Linked DNA regions of Arabidopsis thaliana. The protein of the gene in region 1 interacts with the protein of each later gene in a pairwise test. Each region holds a gene or a part of one and is shown in the gene's direction. Other genes may lie near its edges. The genes, in order: LBD25, WRKY43, AT5G24050 and AT3G57800.

The links.
Region 2: the proteins of LBD25 (region 1) and WRKY43 interact in a two-hybrid assay, tested with the Arabidopsis thaliana proteins (one large-scale study listed by BioGRID).
Region 3: the proteins of LBD25 (region 1) and AT5G24050 interact in a two-hybrid assay, tested with the Arabidopsis thaliana proteins (one large-scale study listed by BioGRID).
Region 4: the proteins of LBD25 (region 1) and AT3G57800 interact in a two-hybrid assay, tested with the Arabidopsis thaliana proteins (one large-scale study listed by BioGRID).

The regions. Positions count from the first base shown.
Region 1 is NC_003074.8:10,235,850-10,241,417, forward strand, and holds LBD25 (LOB domain-containing protein 25), read left to right. Parts: upstream 1-2,664; 5' UTR 2,665-2,881; coding exon 2,882-2,965; intron 2,966-4,101; coding exon 4,102-4,497; 3' UTR 4,498-4,799; downstream 4,800-5,568.
Region 2 is NC_003071.7:18,954,866-18,958,853, forward strand, and holds WRKY43 (WRKY DNA-binding protein 43), read left to right. Parts: upstream 1-2,346; 5' UTR 2,347-2,388; coding exon 2,389-2,537; intron 2,538-2,623; coding exon 2,624-2,804; 3' UTR 2,805-3,060; downstream 3,061-3,988. Other genes in the region: KPHMT1 (ketopantoate hydroxymethyltransferase 1), read right to left, coding at 1-175, 273-326, 424-777, 1,145-1,546. UniProt on the Arabidopsis thaliana protein: Transcription factor. Interacts specifically with the W box (5'-(T)TGAC[CT]-3'), a frequently occurring elicitor-responsive cis-acting element.
Region 3 is NC_003076.8:8,127,052-8,131,407, reverse strand, and holds AT5G24050 (plant-specific B3-DNA-binding domain protein (DUF313)), read left to right. Parts: upstream 1-2,005; coding exon 2,006-3,055; downstream 3,056-4,356. Other genes in the region: AT5G24060 (Pentatricopeptide repeat (PPR) superfamily protein), read left to right, coding at 1-75, 164-457, 561-713, 830-925, 1,031-1,135; AT5G24040 (F-box SKIP23-like protein (DUF295)), read left to right, coding at 4,072-4,325.
Region 4 is NC_003074.8:21,406,712-21,413,908, reverse strand, and holds AT3G57800 (basic helix-loop-helix (bHLH) DNA-binding superfamily protein), read left to right. Parts: upstream 1-2,296; 5' UTR 2,297-2,587; coding exon 2,588-3,133; intron 3,134-3,205; coding exon 3,206-3,319; intron 3,320-3,410; coding exon 3,411-3,476; intron 3,477-3,972; coding exon 3,973-4,068; intron 4,069-4,338; coding exon 4,339-4,383; intron 4,384-4,613; coding exon 4,614-4,682; intron 4,683-4,830; coding exon 4,831-4,902; intron 4,903-5,313; exon of another isoform or gene 5,314-5,508; intron 5,509-5,602; coding exon 5,603-5,875; 3' UTR 5,876-6,120; downstream 6,121-7,197. Other genes in the region: AT3G57790 (Pectin lyase-like superfamily protein), read left to right, coding at 6,821-7,197.

The DNA.
Region 1 (5,568 bases):
TGTCAGAAAATTTACACAAATAATTTATTTGTTCCATTGCTATTTTCTTAATTGCTCTTCTAAATTTTATCATTGGTTGCAAATACTATGATCTTAAAAAACATGAAATAATTAGTTGAATTATTAGCAAAATAAAATAAAATATAGTTGACACTTGACAATAAGAGTGGACATCACTAAAACTAATCGTATATATTGGGTTCGATGTATATGTATAATGTAATAAGAAAATAGGTGTTTAACAAAAATAAAGTAAGAAAGGGTGTGTGTGTTTTTTTGGTGAAATGAAAGGAGGTGTGTAGCCAAAAACAAAAGAAGAGAAGAGGTGCATTATTTCTAAATAAATTTTGATCAAATAATTGTGCTTATGTAATGATTGTTGAGGACATATCACACTTGACTTGCAATCATTCCGTCGACATTTTTCTGTATTATACATTTCGTCAACAACCAATCCACAAAACCCCAACCTATGATAACTAAATCACAAAAGTACATTTGGTTTTATGGGTTGATACAAACTTGAGATCAAGCTAGGTATAAATTAATCTCAAAAGTAATCGCAATTAATAGGATTCATTCGTTAGTTAATCGATCATATCCTGTATAAATTTTGTTGTAACAACCATGCAATTTTCTCTAGGATTTAAGCTATTGTCAAATTTCCTTTCAAAATAATTATCGAAAATTTTTAGTTCGAAAAATTTAACGTATAACATCACTTTTAATTTTCATTATTCGTATACGCTATACTTACATTTAAACCATTTATTTATTTATTTATAAAGTTTATATATGTATATAGAGAACTTACCAGGTTTTGTTATCCCAATTGTCCAATTGATAATTAAAGTATACCGACTTCTAGTTATAGGACTTCTAGGTGCATGCATGATACATACATGATGCATTATGCATATACATGAATTCTTCTAAAATGGATACATAATTAATTAGCACACACACTATCTTGGCTTCTTCGTTTCTTGGACGTCTTGGCTTTTTTTGGTCGACCCACATTAGCTTATTTTATATACACGATAAGAGACATACATTTTCATTCGCCAGGCCTGATCTTATATATTTATGTATAGCCGTATAGGGATATTTGTATGCATGCGTATTCAAGTGCTTCTTCTTTTCCGATCTGAATTGGTCCTTCTCTTTTCATATTTTCTTCACTTTTTCTTTCAATTTTCTATTATTTTTATACTTTCTTTGTACACATACTATATGAAGCATATCTGTATACACTGAAATCTAATCAGGAAATACGTAAAGTATCGTTACAAGAAATACGTAAAATAATGCTTGCCAATGATTGATTATCTTATCTAATCATTGGTATAATCTATATACGCACTTGCTACCAAATATTGCACTTATATGGAATATGAAGCATATATATGTTTATGGAAACAATAATGCCTTGGTATCATCATCACTTATATATATCATTTTAATTTTGTAAGTGCACTTGGATTAGAAAGGATATATAATTATATATCAACTACTTTGTTTGGTATATCTTTTAGGTCTTAATTTCGTTGGATGATTAAAGTTGTAGCTGACCAATACTATGCTAAGTCGCTAAATATTTTAATTATAGGAAATATAAGATCTATAATACAACCACAAGAGTTATCCAACAAACAACAACCTTTTTTGTGAATGGTATCTATATTCGTTGAAAATGACGGTATAATTTTAAATAGAAATTGATTACAGTTTTTTCTTTTCTTTGTTATGCACTATAGAAACTTTTTTTTTTTTTTGGATTCAAGCATGTGGCTCAACCATCAGGGTATGTCAAATTTTTTGAATGAACACATCAACTAATTAAAAGAACGTAAAAGTTAATAACTATTTTTCAGAAATGTAAACAGTAAAATCAAGACGTTAACAGTTAAATTCAATCAAGCAAAATGACAGTACACATGTCGGATTTGCTCAGATCCTCAATAGTTCTGATGTTCTTGTAAGTTTGTATCCCAAAACTTTCTGAAATTTAGTTTAAACAATATATTTAAGTGGTCCAAAGACTTCACAAACATTTTTTTTTTACGGAATAATAAAACGTGGAAAGGTCAAAGGTAAATAAATAATACTAATAGCTTACTAATTAAGGTTTATCATTAGTTTTAAATAAATAATACTAATAGCTTACTAATTAAGGTTTATCATTAGTTTCTTTATAAAATGGTTCGGACTCCTGAGGGTATATGGCTGTACCTTAATTTAAATACATGAAAGTATTGGTTTACTATCATTTGATTTTCTTTCATTGTTAAATTATCTCATATATTCTTAAGTTACATAATAAAAGAGTATTTTTTCATGACAAATTATCGCTTTTATATTTTACATACTTACTGAACCGTATCATATCACATATATAAACAATATTATATACTAATGGCTCGTTTAATTTTTTTCTTTTTAATAAATTAGTTGACAAAAATTATAAATTAGTTTTTTAAAATTTAATAGAAAATACGTTATGCTGTCAAAATTAAAAATAAGATAGAAAATATGTTGTATATTTAGTTATTTACTAAAAGCAATTGAATGGAGTAAAATTTGCCACGGTCAGAGTTATTCTTTCTTAAGTTCACTATTTTAGGTCCTCAATTAATTGAGGCCAATTTGTCTTTTTGTAATCTCATTATATTCATCTTCTTTCTCTTTCTCATCGCACCAAAAATGCCTTTTGCCCCTCTCTCTCTATATCCAACCCATGTCTCCTCTTTATCTCTCTAACTTTCCCCTTAGAGAGATTCCTCTTTCTCTCAAACTAGGGTTTCCTCTCTGAAAACAACAAAAATATCCCAATAATTGCAAAATCTACTTGAAGATTTTTCATTCTCCTTTCTTATAATTAATGCCCAAGAGAGAAACAAAGAAGATCAAACCTTCTCAAGAAGTTATCAAGGAAGGACCTTTTCTTGTTGCGATCCATTTAAAGGTAAGACCAAGAGTTTTTCATTCTGTACAGCCAATTCACTCACACTTGCATAATATATATACTTTCTATATATGTTGATTGATTATATAAATTTAGAGAGTTTAGATCATGAAAATTTGATCACTGGTCTTGAACTACCAAGTTATAATTTGGACGACCTTTTTTCTTTACAAAAGAAAGAAGAAGTTACAATTGAAAGTGAAATCAGGAATTCGGGACTTCTAATATACAGTGAAAGTATCCTATATAGCAGGTAATAAAACTCGGTCATAAATTCAAGATTCAAACTAATATGTAGTACATGTGGGGAACTCAGAGTCAGAGAGACAGAGAGTGCTTTGATGAGAACATGTTGTTTGTTTGTTTAGAACTAATACTAGCTCTAAAACGTAAAACCTGTGTGAGTAATTCGAATTTCCGACACCCATTTTCTTCATATTACTATGAATATCATATGGACGTTTACATTTTAATGTGTAATGTTACACAAGTTTATATAATTTCCCATAATCGTCTTGTGTGTTAGATTCACCAATAACTTTTTAGTATGGATTATTCTCAATTTCCCAAGATTTTATAATTATGTAAAATTAATTCATTAGACAAGGATGTATATATTTGTTTGAGATATATTTGAAATATAAATTTAGGTGGTATAACATCTTTTTGACGCAGAAAGAACACTATGAATAATGAATTTTAAGGATAATAAGATAGGAACATGCATCATACGTCTTCTAAGTTATATTGATGATGAGACTATTATTTCTAGTTACCATTTTACGTAGAATATAATGAATTTTGAGGATTAAAAGACTAAGAACATCATACGTCTTGTAAGTTATATTGTATTGATGATGATACCATTTTATTGCTACTTTGCTAGTTACCAAATTCAAAATGGAAATAAAACATTTGAAACTGTATCAATTTTTAAAAAGTGTACGTAGACATATTGTTGATAAGATATTGATAATTGATGTATATAGAAGAAGAAGAGACTCCAGAGAATTACAATATCGATCGATATGGATCAAAATTCATATCAATCTTATACTGTAGTTTCGAGAATTACTAATAAGATACTATGATGTGATTAAATCGTTTTTGCCATTTTTTTGCAACTGAAAAATCAGGGGATATATATGTCGAACTACACAAACTCACCGTGTGCAGCATGCAAATTCCTCCGGCGTAAATGCACGTCAGACTGCGTATTCGCACCCTATTTTCCGCCGGAGGAACCTACAAAGTTTGCGAACGTCCACCGGATATTCGGGGCAAGCAATGTGAGCAAGATCCTCCACGAAGTGGCTCCCCATCAGCGGGAAGATGCGGTCAACTCGCTGGCTTACGAGGCGGAAGCACGACTTAAAGATCCAGTGTATGGCTGCGTTGGAGCGATCTCGGTGCTCCAAAGACAGGTCTTGAGGTTGCAAAGGGAACTCGAGGAGACAAATGCTGATCTCATGAGGTACGCTGGTTGTCTCGGTGGTGAAACGACGTCGGCTTATGGTGGTCGGAGGGGTTGACTGGTCAACGAGAGTTGATTAGTCATCATCACTCTTTGAGAAAATTAGCGGCGGAGAAGTATAAAGAGAGAGAGGATGGTTGATGTGATGGTAAGTGTTATTAGTCGTATGTATATATGTGTAAATATGGGGACATGCATGCATGTATATTTATGTTTATTTTCATGTATATACTTATGCGTATGTGTAATTTAACTTGTAATTTTTTTTTCATGGGAGAGGTCAAGGAATATTTTTGATGATGTTGAATAACTAGATCTTGCTCATGCTCATATCTCCATAACTCTCTTTAACTTGATCTAGCTCCACTGATTTACATGTGGCCCATTGGTCATTATTCACAAGTTTTTTAGTTTCTGCTAAAAGATTTATGTTCTAAATTATGTATGTACACATATTTCATTGATTAATGACAGATTTTCTAGCATTTTATAAAGTTGCATTCAACGAATTGTGATTGCAATATTACTATTGTATTATGATATTCAAAAGAATAAAATTTCATGTCGACGGTTTTGTATAGACTCATAGGAATGTAGGCTAATAATTGGTTGTTTGATTACACACACTAGTCACTGGTCAGAAACACAAAGTTGCTAATATTTTAAGTTAATTGAGTGATTTTATATATTTGTCGACTTGAAAAAAGTTTAAATAAATTAATCAATTTAGAAACACCAAAATTTTGTAGCTTTAATTTAGGCACATGTCTTCATAGGGAATCTCTTTTTAAAGTCGGTCCTTTTATAATTTTATGTCATTTGGGGCGAACTAACAACCACATATATTTACATACAAATCAACTAATCTTGTCAAAAGAAGAAAATAACAAATGGAACTTTTCTTTTTGATGAGTAAGATTGCTTATAGTTTTTTAAGATTGAGTATGATGATACCCTAATAATAAGTTAAACCAAAAGCTCAATTATTCATGTATCTTAAGATACGGTATAGTTTCGGGTAGGGCTAAGCACGATTATTTGTTACTCGATCCTGTATCCATTATTTGCCTCATATCTGTTTTGAAAAACAAGTCTATATCCTTGTCGATACAAGTAATAATTAATATAA
Region 2 (3,988 bases), on another chromosome or scaffold:
AACCAAGCTTCTGCAACTCGGTTAAGAACCCATCGAGCTCACTTGCTGTGATCTTGTAAGGACTGTGAGAAGGACCTGGAAACACTTTTTTAGAGACTTCTTCTTTGTATTCCATTAGGGCTTTGTTAATCACTTCTCCGACATTAGCGTACTGCTTGCAAAACTTTGGAGTAACCTGTGAAATATAAGAGCATGAAACAAGAAGCATGTTGATAACGAACGAACGAACAAGAGAATGCGTTTCGAAAACAATAATTGTGTCAGGATTTTACCTTGGCATGATGTGGATGTTGCATCATACCAAGAAGATCATGGTAAACTAGCACCTGCATTTCCAAGAAAACAATTAACAGGTATGAGAAATGCAAATTTGTCTCTTGGCTACACACAAAACCGGAAAGAACGAAACTTTTCAAATAAAACCTGTCCACTGCAGAAAGGTCCAGCCCCAATGCCAATGGTTGGTATCTTGAGGGCAGAAGTTGCAGCAGCAGCTACAGGAGGTGGAACGCATTCCAAAACAACCGAAAAACATCCAGCTTCTTGTAAAGCCATTGCAGTCTCAACAACTTTAACAGCACTAGCTATGTTTCTGCCTTGGGGTCTGAAACCACCAAGAACGCTAATCGCCTGAGGGGTTAGACCCACATGACCAATAACCGCAATTCCTGCTTCAACTATAGCTTTTGCAGCAGTGATCCTAGAAGCTGATCCTCCTTCGAGCTTAATCGCATCCATTCCTCCTTCCTTCAAAACCCTAACCGCAGTATCAACCGCCTGAAGCCAACATTTAAACCCAAAATCAGGTCCCTAATTTGTTTCATTGACACAAAATCTTGTAAAGAATCTACTTTGCATAAGCAAGTACTAAAGCTAAATCTGTGATTACACAGGCAATGACACATTGACACATAATGTATCATTTAAGACTTTTTTTATCAAGAATCCAATCACCTAAACATTTGATCAGGAAATGAATTGAACATTGTAAGTCCCACTGAGTGTTGTGATTAATTCAGGTATTGAAATTGCAATCAAGAATCTAATTACCTACACAAAAATTAAGCAGAAGAACATGCCTTATCAACAAATATGTTTAATTTAGGTATCTAGAAGAAAAAAAGATTCAATTTTATAACATTACCTGACTAGAGCTTGACTCGTAGGTACCAAATGGCAAGTCACCAACTAGGAGAGGTCGTTTAGCGCCTCGAGCAACGGCACGACAATGAACAAGCATCTCGTCTAAGGAGATAGGAAGTGTTGTGTCGTGACCATGAACAACCATGGAAGCTGAGTCACCGACAAGACAAACATCGATACCAGCTGTGTCTAAATGAACGGCGGATGGGTAATCGTAGGCAGTTACGACGGTGATCGGTTCTCCTCTCCGGTGTTTTTGTCTGAGATGCGTTAGCGTCACTCTTTGGTTTGGGTTTTGTGGCTTTGGTCCTCCGTAGACGGTGTTTTCCGGTAGGTTACTCATGAAACGGACAGAGATGGCTTTTGAGAAGCGAGAGCAATTCCTAGTGAGTGAGGACGCCATTGTTGTGAAGATGAAGAAACCCTCTTATCTGTGACTGTGTCTGTGTTTACAAGAACAAGGAATTTTACTTTTAAGAAGATTCAATTCCTAGTGAGTGAGGACGCTGTTTAGATTCTGGCAAGTGGCGATTCAGTTCTGGGTTTCACACACAAATCAAGCATAGCAATGACACTGTTAGGAATTGTGATAGCTTAACTATAAATTCAATATTTTAACGAAATCAACAAGATCCGTTGTAGTCTAGCTGGTCAGGATACTCGGCTCTCACCCGAGAGACCCGGGTTCGAGTCCCGGCAACGGAGATAGTTTTAAAATATCTTTACTATATTAAACCGGATTTTGGTTCAGTCTGGTTATGTTAACCCAGTCTCTGTTTCTCTCTAGGCTCTAGCCTAACCCAGTCTCTGTTTCGATCTTATTGAACTTCTGTTCCAAAGGCGATTCCTTTTTTATTTTTCCGTTTCTGGGTTTAGATAGAGAAATGTAGAGATTGAGATCGCGGTTACTAGTTGGAACTCTCTTGGAGTTGGAGAGCATCCGAGGGTTCTGCACGAGCTCCTTTAAGATCGTAGCTTCGGTTCTTTTTTATGAGATTGCGCATTGTGATACCAAAACCGGATTCTACTGTTTACAGTTTCCAGGAGTTCAAGTAAAGACCAAACCATGTCTCTGTTTTTTAAGTCACACACGTGTGAGATGACGTGAAGGAATTTTTTGTTGTTGTTGGTCTGAAGTAGTTGAATGTAGTTGGCTTCTAAACCTTTTTATATATCTCTTCAATATAAATCACACGAAGAATTCTAACACACAATTCGTTGATTCATCATATCTCCTCTTCATTAATGAATGGCCTCGTCGACTCTTCTCGAGATAAGAAGATGAAAAATCCGCGATTTTCGTTTCGCACAAAGAGTGATGCAGATATTCTCGATGATGGTTATCGATGGAGAAAGTACGGTCAGAAATCCGTCAAGAACAGCTTGTATCCCAGGTAAACTTTTTAACATAAATAATCTGAAATTGTTTTTAAAAAGATTGTTTTTTTGTGTGTTTCTTCTCACTTATGATCATCAAAAGGAGCTATTATAGATGCACACAACACATGTGTAACGTGAAGAAGCAAGTTCAGAGGCTGTCGAAGGAGACGAGCATTGTGGAGACAACTTATGAAGGAATCCATAACCATCCTTGTGAGGAGCTCATGCAAACCCTAACTCCTCTTCTTCATCAATTGCAGTTCCTCTCTAAGTTCACCTAATTATGTTTGTATATATATTAACGTTCTAAGAGCATCTCCAATGGAAGTATCTCAATGAGATACCTAACAAAAGAAAAAAAATTAAAAAAAAAATATGAGAGAAGGGAGAAAAAGTAGGAGAGAAGGAGAGTTAAATTTCTCGGATGATTGGACAGGTGTAATCACACTATTAGTTCAACTATTAAATAATAATTAATGTATCTGTTTTGATTAAAATATTAATTAATATGTTTTTGAGAAACTTTCTTTATTTTTACTGGTGGAGATGGTCTAATGTTCCATGGTTCATATAACGGAGCAAATTAAAGCATTGTAATCATATATGTTTGCATGTTCATAGTTGCAATCTCGTTTTGATTATAAATCAGTTTTAAGCATATAACCAAAATAAAAAAACAAATCAATTGTAATATTCCGGTAAAACGATTACCACGTGATGATTATAGAGAGGCATAGAGCAATATCGTCTGGTAAACTGAATAAAACCGGATTTGGTTTCCATAGATTTTTCTCAAGCCAAATCAGTTTCCTTTCGTTTGAATAAACCTATTGGCTTATCGTGAGTGATTATTGTTTTGTTTATTTACACGATGAACAATGTCAATGAGACATGTCACATGTACGAAGTCAGTTCCGATATATTACATGAATTGCTTTCAAGTTTTGATCAGCATCCTTAAATAGTCACCGAAAATAAGAAGCGAACAAGTCTTGGCGAAGTTGAAGCCACAAAGTGTACTAATAAATATGGATTGCCGAATTAAAAGAAGAAACAAAAAAACTACATTTTCATATTTTTTTTCTTCTTCCATATATAAATCCACTTTTCAACTTAAGCAAATGCAATCAATGGGAAGGTAAGTATGTATACCTCTAAATCTCAAATAATCTTTAAAATTATAAAATATATATGTTTTGACTAATTTTAGGAAGATAAAATAATCTCTTATATTTTCATCTTCTTGGGATTATTTACCAAAAATTAATGTTTAGAAAGTAGTACTACTCAACATGTAGTTGTTAAATATCTTTAAAGTTTAAGTTTTGATAATGTTAAAATCTATTAAAAATAATTGGTCATAATAGTAAAACAACTAATAATTAATTTTTTAGGATATTGCTTAAAAGTTAAAACATATTGCTAATTTAAAAGTCATAATATACAAAATATAATTGTAGTATAT
Region 3 (4,356 bases), on another chromosome or scaffold:
TCACTTGGAGACTGGGCAAACTTGGAAACGATGCGATATTGCCATCCTATGTATTTTGCCAGGAGGATGGCCGAGGTTACTTGCAGTCCAAAAATTGATTTGTGATTTATCAAATATCCACCATGTGAAGACTATAAAACTTAGTTTCTTTATTGAAATTTAGGTTGCTTCAACTGATCCTGTAAATTGGATGGATCAGCCGTCCGCTGGCCTTGCTATCCAAGGGCTCTTGAGTCCTGTCATTGTGGAAGATCACTCAGATATCCAAAAACATATCTCTGGTTGTATATCTACAGGCACTGACAAAAACAAGGAGAGAGAAAACTCAGAAGAGATATTTGAAGGCATTGGTGAGAATGAATCTGAGATATTGCATGTTGAAAATTCGAGAAATGCTATACAGTACTACAAGCTGGAGATAATAAGAATCCAGCTCATCACGGCACAGGGGCATCAGGTTACGATAAAGCCTCTCCCTTTTTAATATATACTCTTTAAAAGGCTCTATGGAAGTTTTAGCTCATGCATTTGGTTGGTTGTGTATTTTTGCTTTTGAACAGACTGAAGTGGAAGTGGAAGACGTCAGGAAAGCACAACCTGATGTTATTGCTTGTGCATCAGATGGTATACTGACTCGTCTAGAAGAAGATGGCGATAAACTAACTGAAGCTCTCAGATCTCTGTGTTGGAGAAATAATGGGATTCAAGCAGAGGTAAAGAAACTGGAACTTTACGTTACATTACTGGAATTTCAAAACGAAGTTGTTGTATAGCTTTCACGACTATACTGTGACAATCATGATTATATCCATATGGTGTTACAATGTAGGAAGTGAAGCTCATTGGGATAGATTCACTTGGTTTCGACCTTAGGATTTGCTCAGGAATGCAAATTGAGACATTACGGTTTGCATTCTCGATAAGGGTATGTCGATTTTCGTTTTCTATCTTCTTAGACTCTGATTAGTGAACAATGATAATACATACGATATCACTTAGATTAATGCGGCCTGATAACTCTGTGTTGCAGGCAACATCAGAACACAACGCTGAGGGACAGTTGAGAGAATTATTATTCGCTTCTACACCTTCCAAGCCGCAGAAACCAAAACAAACGAATCAAAAGGAATCTTAGAGTCTTAATAATGTAGCTACAAGAAACATATTCAAACTGCAATTTCTCGTGTATCAATGAAAGTGCCCTCACCAGTCAGACATGAACTAACACTCCTGCTAACGTTAAAGATCGTTTGTGGTCAGACAAGCAATTTCAAGGTTGGCTTATTGGAGATTGGTGTGTGTGTGTGTGTGTGGGGGGGGGGGGGGGGGGTCTCATGTTGTTTCATTGTTTTCCAATTAATTCTTGACACTGTTTATACATAAATATATGATCTTCAAGTCTAAGGGTTAATAGACTTATTAATTCTTCAAGTCTCTGGGTTAATATAGTTTATACAATTTATACAGAAGACCTTATTAATTCTTCAAGTCTCTGGGTTAAGAGAGCATTGAAATTTATCCCAATTTATACATAAATATATGATCTGTCCAAATAGTTTTACATAAATCTCATCTCTTTATCGTAACTCTTATTTTTGTATTTTGTCACTAATAACTTTTTTACATTCATAAAACCCACTTCAAAAGATTGTATCTTAGTTTAGTTGTTTAATTACATTTGTATTCATAAAGTGAGAATGAGAGACTCTCACACACCTAGAAAAAGGAAATACCGAGACAAGGACTATATCGTAATTATAAGGTTAGCTATTAACGAAAATAAAATCAGACAACGGCTAATTAGTTACTAATCACAGTAATTAAACAACTAAACTCAAAGAAAAAAGGAAACCCTAAATTTGATGTAAGCAGAGAGCGCAAGTATTATTATATAATGCAATAGAGACTCTCTCATTCTCAGTTTCTCTCAGATTCTCTAATTTCCTTGTGTCTCACGATTTGCTCTCAGAAGAACTTGAGTTTTCGATTCTATCAAAAATTCACAATGACTAGTATCTATCACGATGATGACGATCATCTCACGGCTTCAGGTAAAGACCTGTGGTCGAATTTCTGTGTACTGGTTGATGCGGCGGTTATGTTATATGAAGAAGAAGAAGAAGAACAACGTCGTAAGATTGTCTCTGAAGAAGAAGAAGAATTCCAGAAGAGAATCTTTTGTCTCTTCCCGAGAAAAACAAGATCGTCTTTGGTGAAGAGACAACAAAATCTTATTAGGGTTTCTACTTCTTCATCGCTTATCGATCTTAACCAGTTCCCTACCGATTCTGAGATCGAAGACCCACAAAACCATCTTCAAGGGCTATCCTCTTCATGTTTCATTGCCGCTAATTCCGAGACAAAAACATTACAAAACCCTAGTTCAGAACCTTGTTCTTCACTCGGACTCTTTGGTCACAAGACGGCTGAGTACCAAAAGACGGAGACGAAAGACCCACCAAACCCTAATTTCCCATGTACTATGTCTTTGTGCCTAATGGAGAACACAAGCCGCAAGAGACGTGCTGTGGAACAAAGGAAGCGTAGTGGTGGAGTCAAGAAAGCAAATGTTGCTCCTTTTTCACAAACGGCGAGAGAGACACCTGAGTGGCTTGTCAAGGTGATGACAAACATGAAAGAAGCCAAAGACGCTAAATTGATCTTTGAGAAGACTCTGTTCGTGACTGATGTAAACCCAACAAAGAACCGTCTCTCAATGCCTTTCAACAACTTACTCCGAAACGATTTCCTGACGTCTGTGGAGTCCATAATCATAAACGAAGACATCAACAACAATAACAAGATTGGAGTGGGAGCGATTCTCGTGGATCAACGGTGTAAAAAGTGGGGTGTGATGTTAAAGAGATGGGAGATGAAGAAGGAATCAGGTAAAGGAAGCTGGAGTTACAATTTGATTTGTGGGTGGAACGACATCGTTGAGGCTAACAGATTGAAAGAAGGCGACAACATTACTCTTTGGTCGTTTAGGTGCTGTGGAATCCTCTGCTTTGCCATGGAACAGAGTAGCTCTTCCCTTGCTCTCTGTCTCTGCTAAGTTTCTTGTGTCGGTTGAGACTATAACTTGATTGATCAACACGCACAGCGATCTAATTTCAGGAGATTCTGGACTTCTTTTTTGTCTAAGAGTTTGATTAAGAAAATTAGTGTTCCTTATTAGTAACTTGTTCCATATATTGTTTCAGATCATTATAACCGTATGTACTATAGTATGAAAACTTAGCATTTTTGACATGAATCTTGTTTGTTGTTTGGTCTACTTTAGTTACTGCATTGTTACCTTTCGATTCCTTGTAATATATCTCCAAGTCTTATTTTGTCTAATGAAATTGATCCAATCAATAAAAGTGTTTTTAATACATTCATTAGAAATGCTCGATACAATCAAAACCTGTGTTTTGTTCTACTCAGTAAGAATCTGATTTTGAAACTCAAGTATGAAGAGCAAAATGATCAAATCAGGAACCAAATTTGTTGCCAAGACAGGTTTTGCTACAATTGCTTCTTCAGCCACTTGAATAAGTACACCGTACTTGGACGTTGATTAGCTCGATTTTCTCAGCCTTAATAGCAAACACAACGTTTCGCTTCCGCACATCTATAAGATCTCGTTTTCTTGTCTAGGATCTTGTCAGTTTATGATTAATGTAGAAATTCTGAAACTACAATACAAAAATACAAATCCTAGGTGAATTATAGTTTCGAAAATCCATATTAAAAAAAAAAATCCATATAGATTATTTAAAATACACCAATCAAGTGTTGGTTATTTTCGGATTTTGAAAAAACCGTTAGGCAATTTGAAAGCAAAAACAAAAAAAAAATGATCTCTATAATCATACACTCATTCGAATTTCTCCTCAAATTTGTTAAACTTTCAGAAAACTGAATCGAACACAAGCAGGGATTGTTACAGCTTGTAGTACACGTCAAGTAATAAAGTCAACGCATTTCCTCAATCAAGAGAGCAACAGAGAAAGTCAACACGTTTAGTTTTAGGCTTTTAGCTCTACATTATTATCAGACCAAGTCTATAATCACTCAGAGAATAAAATGGTAAAATGGTCGGAGTTGCCACCGGAGATTCTCCACTTGATCTCCCTTAAAATCGACAATCCCTTTGATCTGATCCACTTTCGGTCAGTTTGTTCCTTTTGGCGATCCTCTAGTCTCCTCAAATTCAGACACATGACATCACTTAGATGTCCTCTTCCCCTTGATCCCGGCGGTTGTGGTGATGATTGCCATATCTTGAGCAGCCGTGTCTACCTTCTCAAGTGTCCTAATCGTGACCGTCCCCAATATTGGTAATAAAATCTGTTTCTTGTATTGATTCTT
Region 4 (7,197 bases), about 11 Mb from region 1:
ATGCATGTCAGGTTTGTAACAGCTGTCGAATAATGCAAGCTACATAGAAAAATAAAACATTTTCATTAAAACACAAAAAGAAGAAGGTTAGAGAGAGCTATTCATTTATTCATCGAAACATTTTAATATGGGAAGAAGGGAATTCCCACACCACTCCACTACGAAGAGAGGCTTCTTGGGCCAGTGTCACGTGATTAACACGCGGATCCAGACCCACTCATATATAAACGAATTATCTATAATATTTTCTAAACATATTTCTTTATTCATCGCACATTTTTTTTTTTCATGCTTCACGTATACATCCGAAAAATCTTTGTGGTCTCGCCCATATCTATCCTTTTAAATCCATCATGATCCCAATGTGATACGTTAATAAGACCATCTGCAATGGTTGTCTCTATTTTTTTTTTGTAAATATAGAAGAGAAAATAGAGATTTCTATTTTTACTCCAATAATTCTTCAAAAATAGAAATCTCTATTTGTTAGAAAGAAAAATAGGGGAAAAAAATAGAGATCCATATTTTTGTTTCTATATATAGAGAAAAAAATAGAGATCTCTATAATGGAAGTGAGAATAGAGATGAGTTGGAGTGTAATAAAAGCAAAAATAGAGTGTAGAGACAAAAATAGAGATGTGTTGGAGATGCCGTAAGTATTGTGAAGATAATCCTCACAGCTTTCTCAGCAATAAAAGAAAATATATCTCTTTAATTTTTTATAAAGGTTTTATGTGTGAATATTAAAAACTTTAGTCTCATATGAGTTCGAGACTGTGCTCGGGAACAAATTTTATAAAGATAAATCATCTAAAATTGAACTGCGTTTATAATGGCAAAGACTTTGCATAATTAGAATGTTTCTTATTGATAAAGACTTTGCATGTTTCATACTCATTTTGACATCTAATTGAATAAAAACAGAAAAGAGCCGTATAGCTTCAAAATCTTTATATTTAGAATAAAGTGTATATATGTGAAAGAGTAACACATATGTACGTAGGAATTAGGTTGGTTAAAGAATTGGCCACATCAATATCTGAGACACCAAAGAAGTAATGGACGTTGGGAGAGTAAGTAACGTTGCCAAATTGGAAATGCCAAAAAAAGATTGTACCTTTCCTCTCTTTGATTGAGACTTTACTACTACACCAAACCTTACATCACCAATCGCTGAAAGTGAAACCGATATTTTAGCACATTTATATTCCACTTCTACACCTTTTTACTAAATTTCAGTTTTGAGATTTACTTACATGAAGAAGAAATTGGCTAATCAAAATAATCAAGCAACGATGATTTGTTGCAATGAAATGGAAATTGGGATTTGGGCTCAGATTATTAGAGCATAAGTGGATTTCCTGTTCGGCCCATTGTGTGAAACAGGTTATTCCACTGGACCCATCTGTTCATCTTTGTCCTCAAATTTTCCTCTCTATCCCCAAAACACCCTTTTAAAGAAGTAACATTAATTGTTTTTTTTTTTCCTTTTAATAAATTTATAAGATATTTTGAATTAATATTATTAGTACGTCTCAATTTTTATTTTATTTTTGCCTTTTATACTCTAAAGTTTTTAATACTTGATGAATTTTGAATATTTTTAAAAAATAAAAAAAATAAAATATTTTTAAAAAATTAATATTACGCTTGGTAGATTTCATCCAACGGCTGAGATAATTACTAAAATGGTGTTTTGAGCTCAATTATTTTTCCATATTAAAAAGTGTTTTTGGTTCTTGGTTATTTACAGGTCAACAAAATAATTTGACACCGGAATCGGAGTCCGTGGAAAGTCAGAAAACCTGATGTAACACCATTTATGGCATTAACTACTGATAATAATACTATACGAAAATCCAATTATTATACCGAGAAAAAAAGAAAAGTGGTCAGAGACAGCAGGCTGGTCCTGCTGAAGAATAAATCTAATCTACCGATTCGATTAAATAAATATGTGCCGTTTTCTGGTACGCCCTATTCAAATCATTTTTATATTATAGTATCAAAATACTTCAAAAATTTACTAATTACAAAATTAAGGAGTGATAAAAAAAGTTTATAATCAGAGATAAAAAGTCACCGGTTAAAGCCCAAAAGGCCCAAGTAATATCCATTGGGATCCAGCAAAATATATAACAAAAGAACCGTACCGTACCTACAATAACCAAAATTGGTTTTCTCTTTCTTTTGTCTAACAGTGGCCTTTATTTAACAGACGCACTCCACTGCTAACGTTGCTTTCGTCCTACTCTTCTTCTGGTGTAAAAGCTTTTCTTCCACACACATTTGAGAAAGAAGACGAAGAAGAAGAGAGAATAACTATTCCTTCTTCGCCAAGTTCTCTGAGCTATAGAAGAAGGAGGGATTTCTTCAGACCGCCATTGTTGCCCACCTTCTCTCCTTTCTATTTTTCGCCGCATTTTACTCGCTTACTGACAAAAGTCTTCTACTCAAGTCTCTCTCTCGCTCTCTTTGGAGGCTCAATTAGGGTTTTGTTGTCGTGAGATTTGATTACACAAATTGCTGAATTTGGTTTCGATTATTGGTGTTATTGTTTTCGAAGATTTCCAGTGAGTTTCCGTTTATGGATCTGACTGGAGGATTTGGAGCTAGATCCGGCGGTGTTGGACCGTGCCGGGAACCAATAGGCCTTGAATCGCTACATCTCGGTGACGAATTTCGGCAACTAGTGACGACTTTACCTCCCGAGAACCCCGGCGGTTCGTTCACGGCTTTGCTTGAGCTTCCACCTACACAAGCAGTGGAGCTTCTCCATTTCACTGATTCTTCGTCTTCTCAACAAGCGGCAGTGACAGGGATCGGTGGAGAGATTCCTCCGCCGCTTCACTCTTTCGGTGGGACATTGGCTTTTCCTTCTAACTCAGTTCTCATGGAGCGAGCAGCTCGTTTCTCGGTGATTGCCACTGAGCAACAAAACGGAAATATCTCCGGGGAGACTCCGACGAGCTCTGTACCTTCCAATTCAAGTGCTAATCTCGACAGAGTCAAGACGGAGCCTGCTGAGACCGATTCATCTCAGCGGTTGATTTCTGATTCAGCGATTGAGAATCAAATCCCTTGCCCTAACCAGAACAATCGAAATGGGAAGAGGAAAGATTTCGAAAAGAAGGTTAGAGTGAGAGACAAATGTTTTTACTTTTTTACATTTGATCCTTCGTTTCATCAGATTGATTTTTTATAGGGTAAAAGCTCGACGAAGAAGAACAAAAGCTCTGAAGAGAACGAGAAGCTGCCATATGTTCACGTTAGAGCTCGTCGTGGTCAAGCAACCGATAGCCATAGCTTAGCAGAACGAGTAACTTGCATCTGCCTTCACTAATTTTTCTTTTTTTTGGTATTAATCAGTTGATTAATTCGCTAATTGATCACTAATTTTTGGATTATAGGCAAGAAGAGAGAAGATAAATGCACGAATGAAGCTGTTACAGGAACTGGTCCCAGGCTGTGATAAGGTTTGTCTCTTAGATATAGACGTGTAATCAATTTGTTAATCAATCATTAGGTCTTCATTTGTGATTAACGACATTATATTTCTCTAATTGATTCACTCCAAAAGTAAGAATTTATTATTAGATGATCTAGTCTTTTTGTTAAGGGTCTTAATCCTTCACACCTACTTTTTTTTTTCTTCCTAAAAAGTGGATTGCTTAATTGCTTTTTTATTAAGAAAAGTGGTTCCTGGTGTGCCAAAGTAGCCAGTTGGGTAATTGTGTAGTAATGCCTTTAGAGATCTCAACTTTATTTTTTTATTTCGTGTGGGGAGAAATATCTCACGGGTACACACTTAGCTTTAAGGTTAACTCAGTCACACGGAAGTGATAGGACCTTGCTTTATCGAATTCTTTTTCCATAAGTGTGTTCGTTGAGCTTGAAGATTAGTCTATAAATGACGAGAATGACCTTAGGAAGTGTGCTAGCTGTAATATGCCATTAAGGTTTTGGGTTTAGGGGACAGATTTTGGTGGAAAGATCAAGATCAAAGTGTGTTTTGGGGTCCATCTTTTGATGATAAGTGGGAAAAAAGTTGCAATCTTTCTATGGAAGGTGAGGAAGGGGTAGTATCGTCTCTAACAAGTTCGGTATCTATCAAGGAAAAATAGAAAATGACTCTTAGAAGGACGATTAAAGCAAATGATCCTTTACAAAAATTGATATGCTTTGAGTCCCACATACCTAATTAGTTGGAAACATGATGTGACACTCCCCCAGACAGCTAATTAATCATCCCTGATGTTAGAAGTTAGCAGCAATTATTGGTGTGATAGAGATGATGATATGGAACATCAGTGTTTGTTTAAAATTTGGATTCTATAGGTGAGCTGTGAGGACTTGATTGATTGTTCCTTTAGCCCCCCTAGGGTATACTGATTACTTGTGATTGTAGTAGATACCATTTATTATAATAGCTTTAGATTAGCACGTCATTCTCTTGCTGCTTTTTTCACTGTGTATTTTGGAATCTTGGTATTTTCTCGTTGAAATATTGGATCATCTTAACAATAGTTAGCTGTCTAGAAAGAATTTTTGGTATGTGAAAGCAGATCTACCTAATATGAATCCGAGCTTATCAGAAAGTCTTTGACCTGCAGATTCAAGGTACCGCGCTGGTGCTGGATGAAATCATTAACCATGTCCAGTCATTACAACGTCAAGTGGAGGTGAGACTTTCCGTGGTCCAATTTTTGTTCTTTATACCTATATTTTACAATAGCCCTGGGCACAATAAAAGGGTCAACTCAAAACAATTTGAAAATGAATAGAATTATGTGCCGCAATCTCATGAAACTGTGACTTGTGTTTCCACAGATGCTATCAATGAGACTTGCTGCGGTAAACCCCAGAATCGACTTCAATCTCGACACCATATTGGCTTCAGAAGTAAGTATCAAAATCTCAAACAATAATTTGGTCATTCTGATTAGTCTTCTCTAGGAAAAATTTAACCATTTCATGTGTTTCTCATTTAAGTTAACCATACCTCTTTGAGTAGCTTCTAGTTTCTATCACAAAAGGAGAAACTTTTGGGGTATTTATTGATACAAACATTAATTTAGACCATTTTAGTGTAAGGCATAGGAAGATCACAACGTCTACTCTCATGAAGGAAACTCAGGGAAAAATAAATACACAACACACACACACACCCAATGCAAATAACAGTAGTGGGTCAAAACTCGGACCACCTTTGTTCTGTAAAACCTTTCTGTGTCTTCTGTGACTTATGTCGGATGTGTTACTTGATGAACCTTTTAAAAAAAAAGTTAATTCATCCCTCAATAATTTCTGTGGGTCTCTTCCAAAATCTTGTTATTTCAAAGTGACCTATCTAATTTCATGATCACCTGTGGATTCTCATCAAAAGTTTTGGACCAAACTAAATAAATGCTCCCTCTCTCTTTCTTCTTACAGCTTGTACCACCATTAAATAGCCAGGGACCCTCTCATCAAACCTTGTTCTTTTAGGATAATAATAACACAGCAACAACAGTTGACTTCTTTGACTAGATCAAGATCTCTATGAATGATCCCTTTGCTGATATCTTTTCCGGTTTTGGCTCTGTGTTTTTTTCTTTGACAGAACGGTTCTTTAATGGATGGGAGCTTCAATGCCGCACCAATGCAGCTTGCTTGGCCTCAGCAAGCCATTGAGACCGAACAGTCCTTTCATCACCGGCAACTGCAACAACCACCAACACAACAATGGCCTTTTGACGGCTTGAACCAGCCGGTATGGGGAAGAGAAGAGGATCAAGCTCATGGCAATGATAACAGCAATTTGATGGCAGTTTCTGAAAATGTAATGGTGGCTTCTGCTAATTTGCACCCAAATCAGGTCAAAATGGAGCTGTAAGTTGGGAAAACGGTAGAGATCATGAATGTGTATATACATCGTATAAGCTCGTTTCTCTCTATATAAATATAATCATAAATATAGATATCTGTTAAGAAGGTATCAGTCATTTGATTCAGAGAGACAACACTGGTATGATTGTTTCTTATTCTTGTACCAGATTTCGACAATGTAGAATTTAGTAGGATATGATCATTTTGATCTCGTTATATATATCTTACTAATAATAAATAGAGATAAAAAAATTCTATTTAGGGAAATAAATCAGTATCGATAAACAAAAACAGAAAGAAGAAGCAGGGGCATCCTTTGGATATTGGAGTTGCACGAAAAAGAAGAAGCAAAAACAAAATGCAACTATATGTTTAGATTGTTTGAGCTGGACCAAGTGAAAATGCACCTCTTGAATTATGGTTTAGGTTAGGTAACAAAAAACCCTAAATTGACTCATTCGATAAGAACAGAGATGCAATCATAAATATGAGTGCAAAGCACGTTACCGGAAGCTGTGATGGCCTTGTTTGCGTCTACCGTATAGAAAGATTGATGTGTATCATCAATCCCGCCACTAGATGGTATCGATCTCTTCCTCAGCCTAAGATTCAACAAATTAACCGCCTTAGACGAAATCTACACGAGAGAAAGTTTCACTTTTTAATTCTTTTGCTTAATCAATTTGCTTAATCAATTTGCTCATATATGTTTACTTAAATTTTTGATGTTTTTGTAGTATTATTTCACTATTATTGTGCCTAATTAATTGTTTTTGTTTTTACAAACTCTCTCATAGCTTATTATTCTGCATCAAACTATCCAGGATTCGGTAAAGACACTACGATCCTCATAGAAGAGATCTGGAATTCTAGTTTCAGTTGTTTATCAATTCCAATAAAGTCTACACACATAGACATAGGATAAGATTATTATTAAGACCTTTAAAAAAAAATGATGGGAAGCATATTATTGTTACTATTATTCTTTTCTCTGGTCCAATCACGTTCAGACACGTCATATTCAAAAATTCAACTTCCCGGCGATTCTCTGACCCTCTCCGTTACCGATTTCGGTGCTACCGGCGATGGTATCAACTACGATACTTCTGCGATTCAGTCAACCATTGACGCCTGCAATCGTCACTACACATCTTTTTCTTCCATCTGCCGCGTCGTTTTCCCTTCCGGCAACTATTTGACCGCTAAGCTCCATCTCCGATCTGGCGTCATTCTCGATGTGACGGAGAACGCCGTGCTTCTCGGTGGACCGAGAATCGAGGATTATTATCCGGCGGAGACTTCGTCGGATTGGTACGTGGTGGTGGCGAA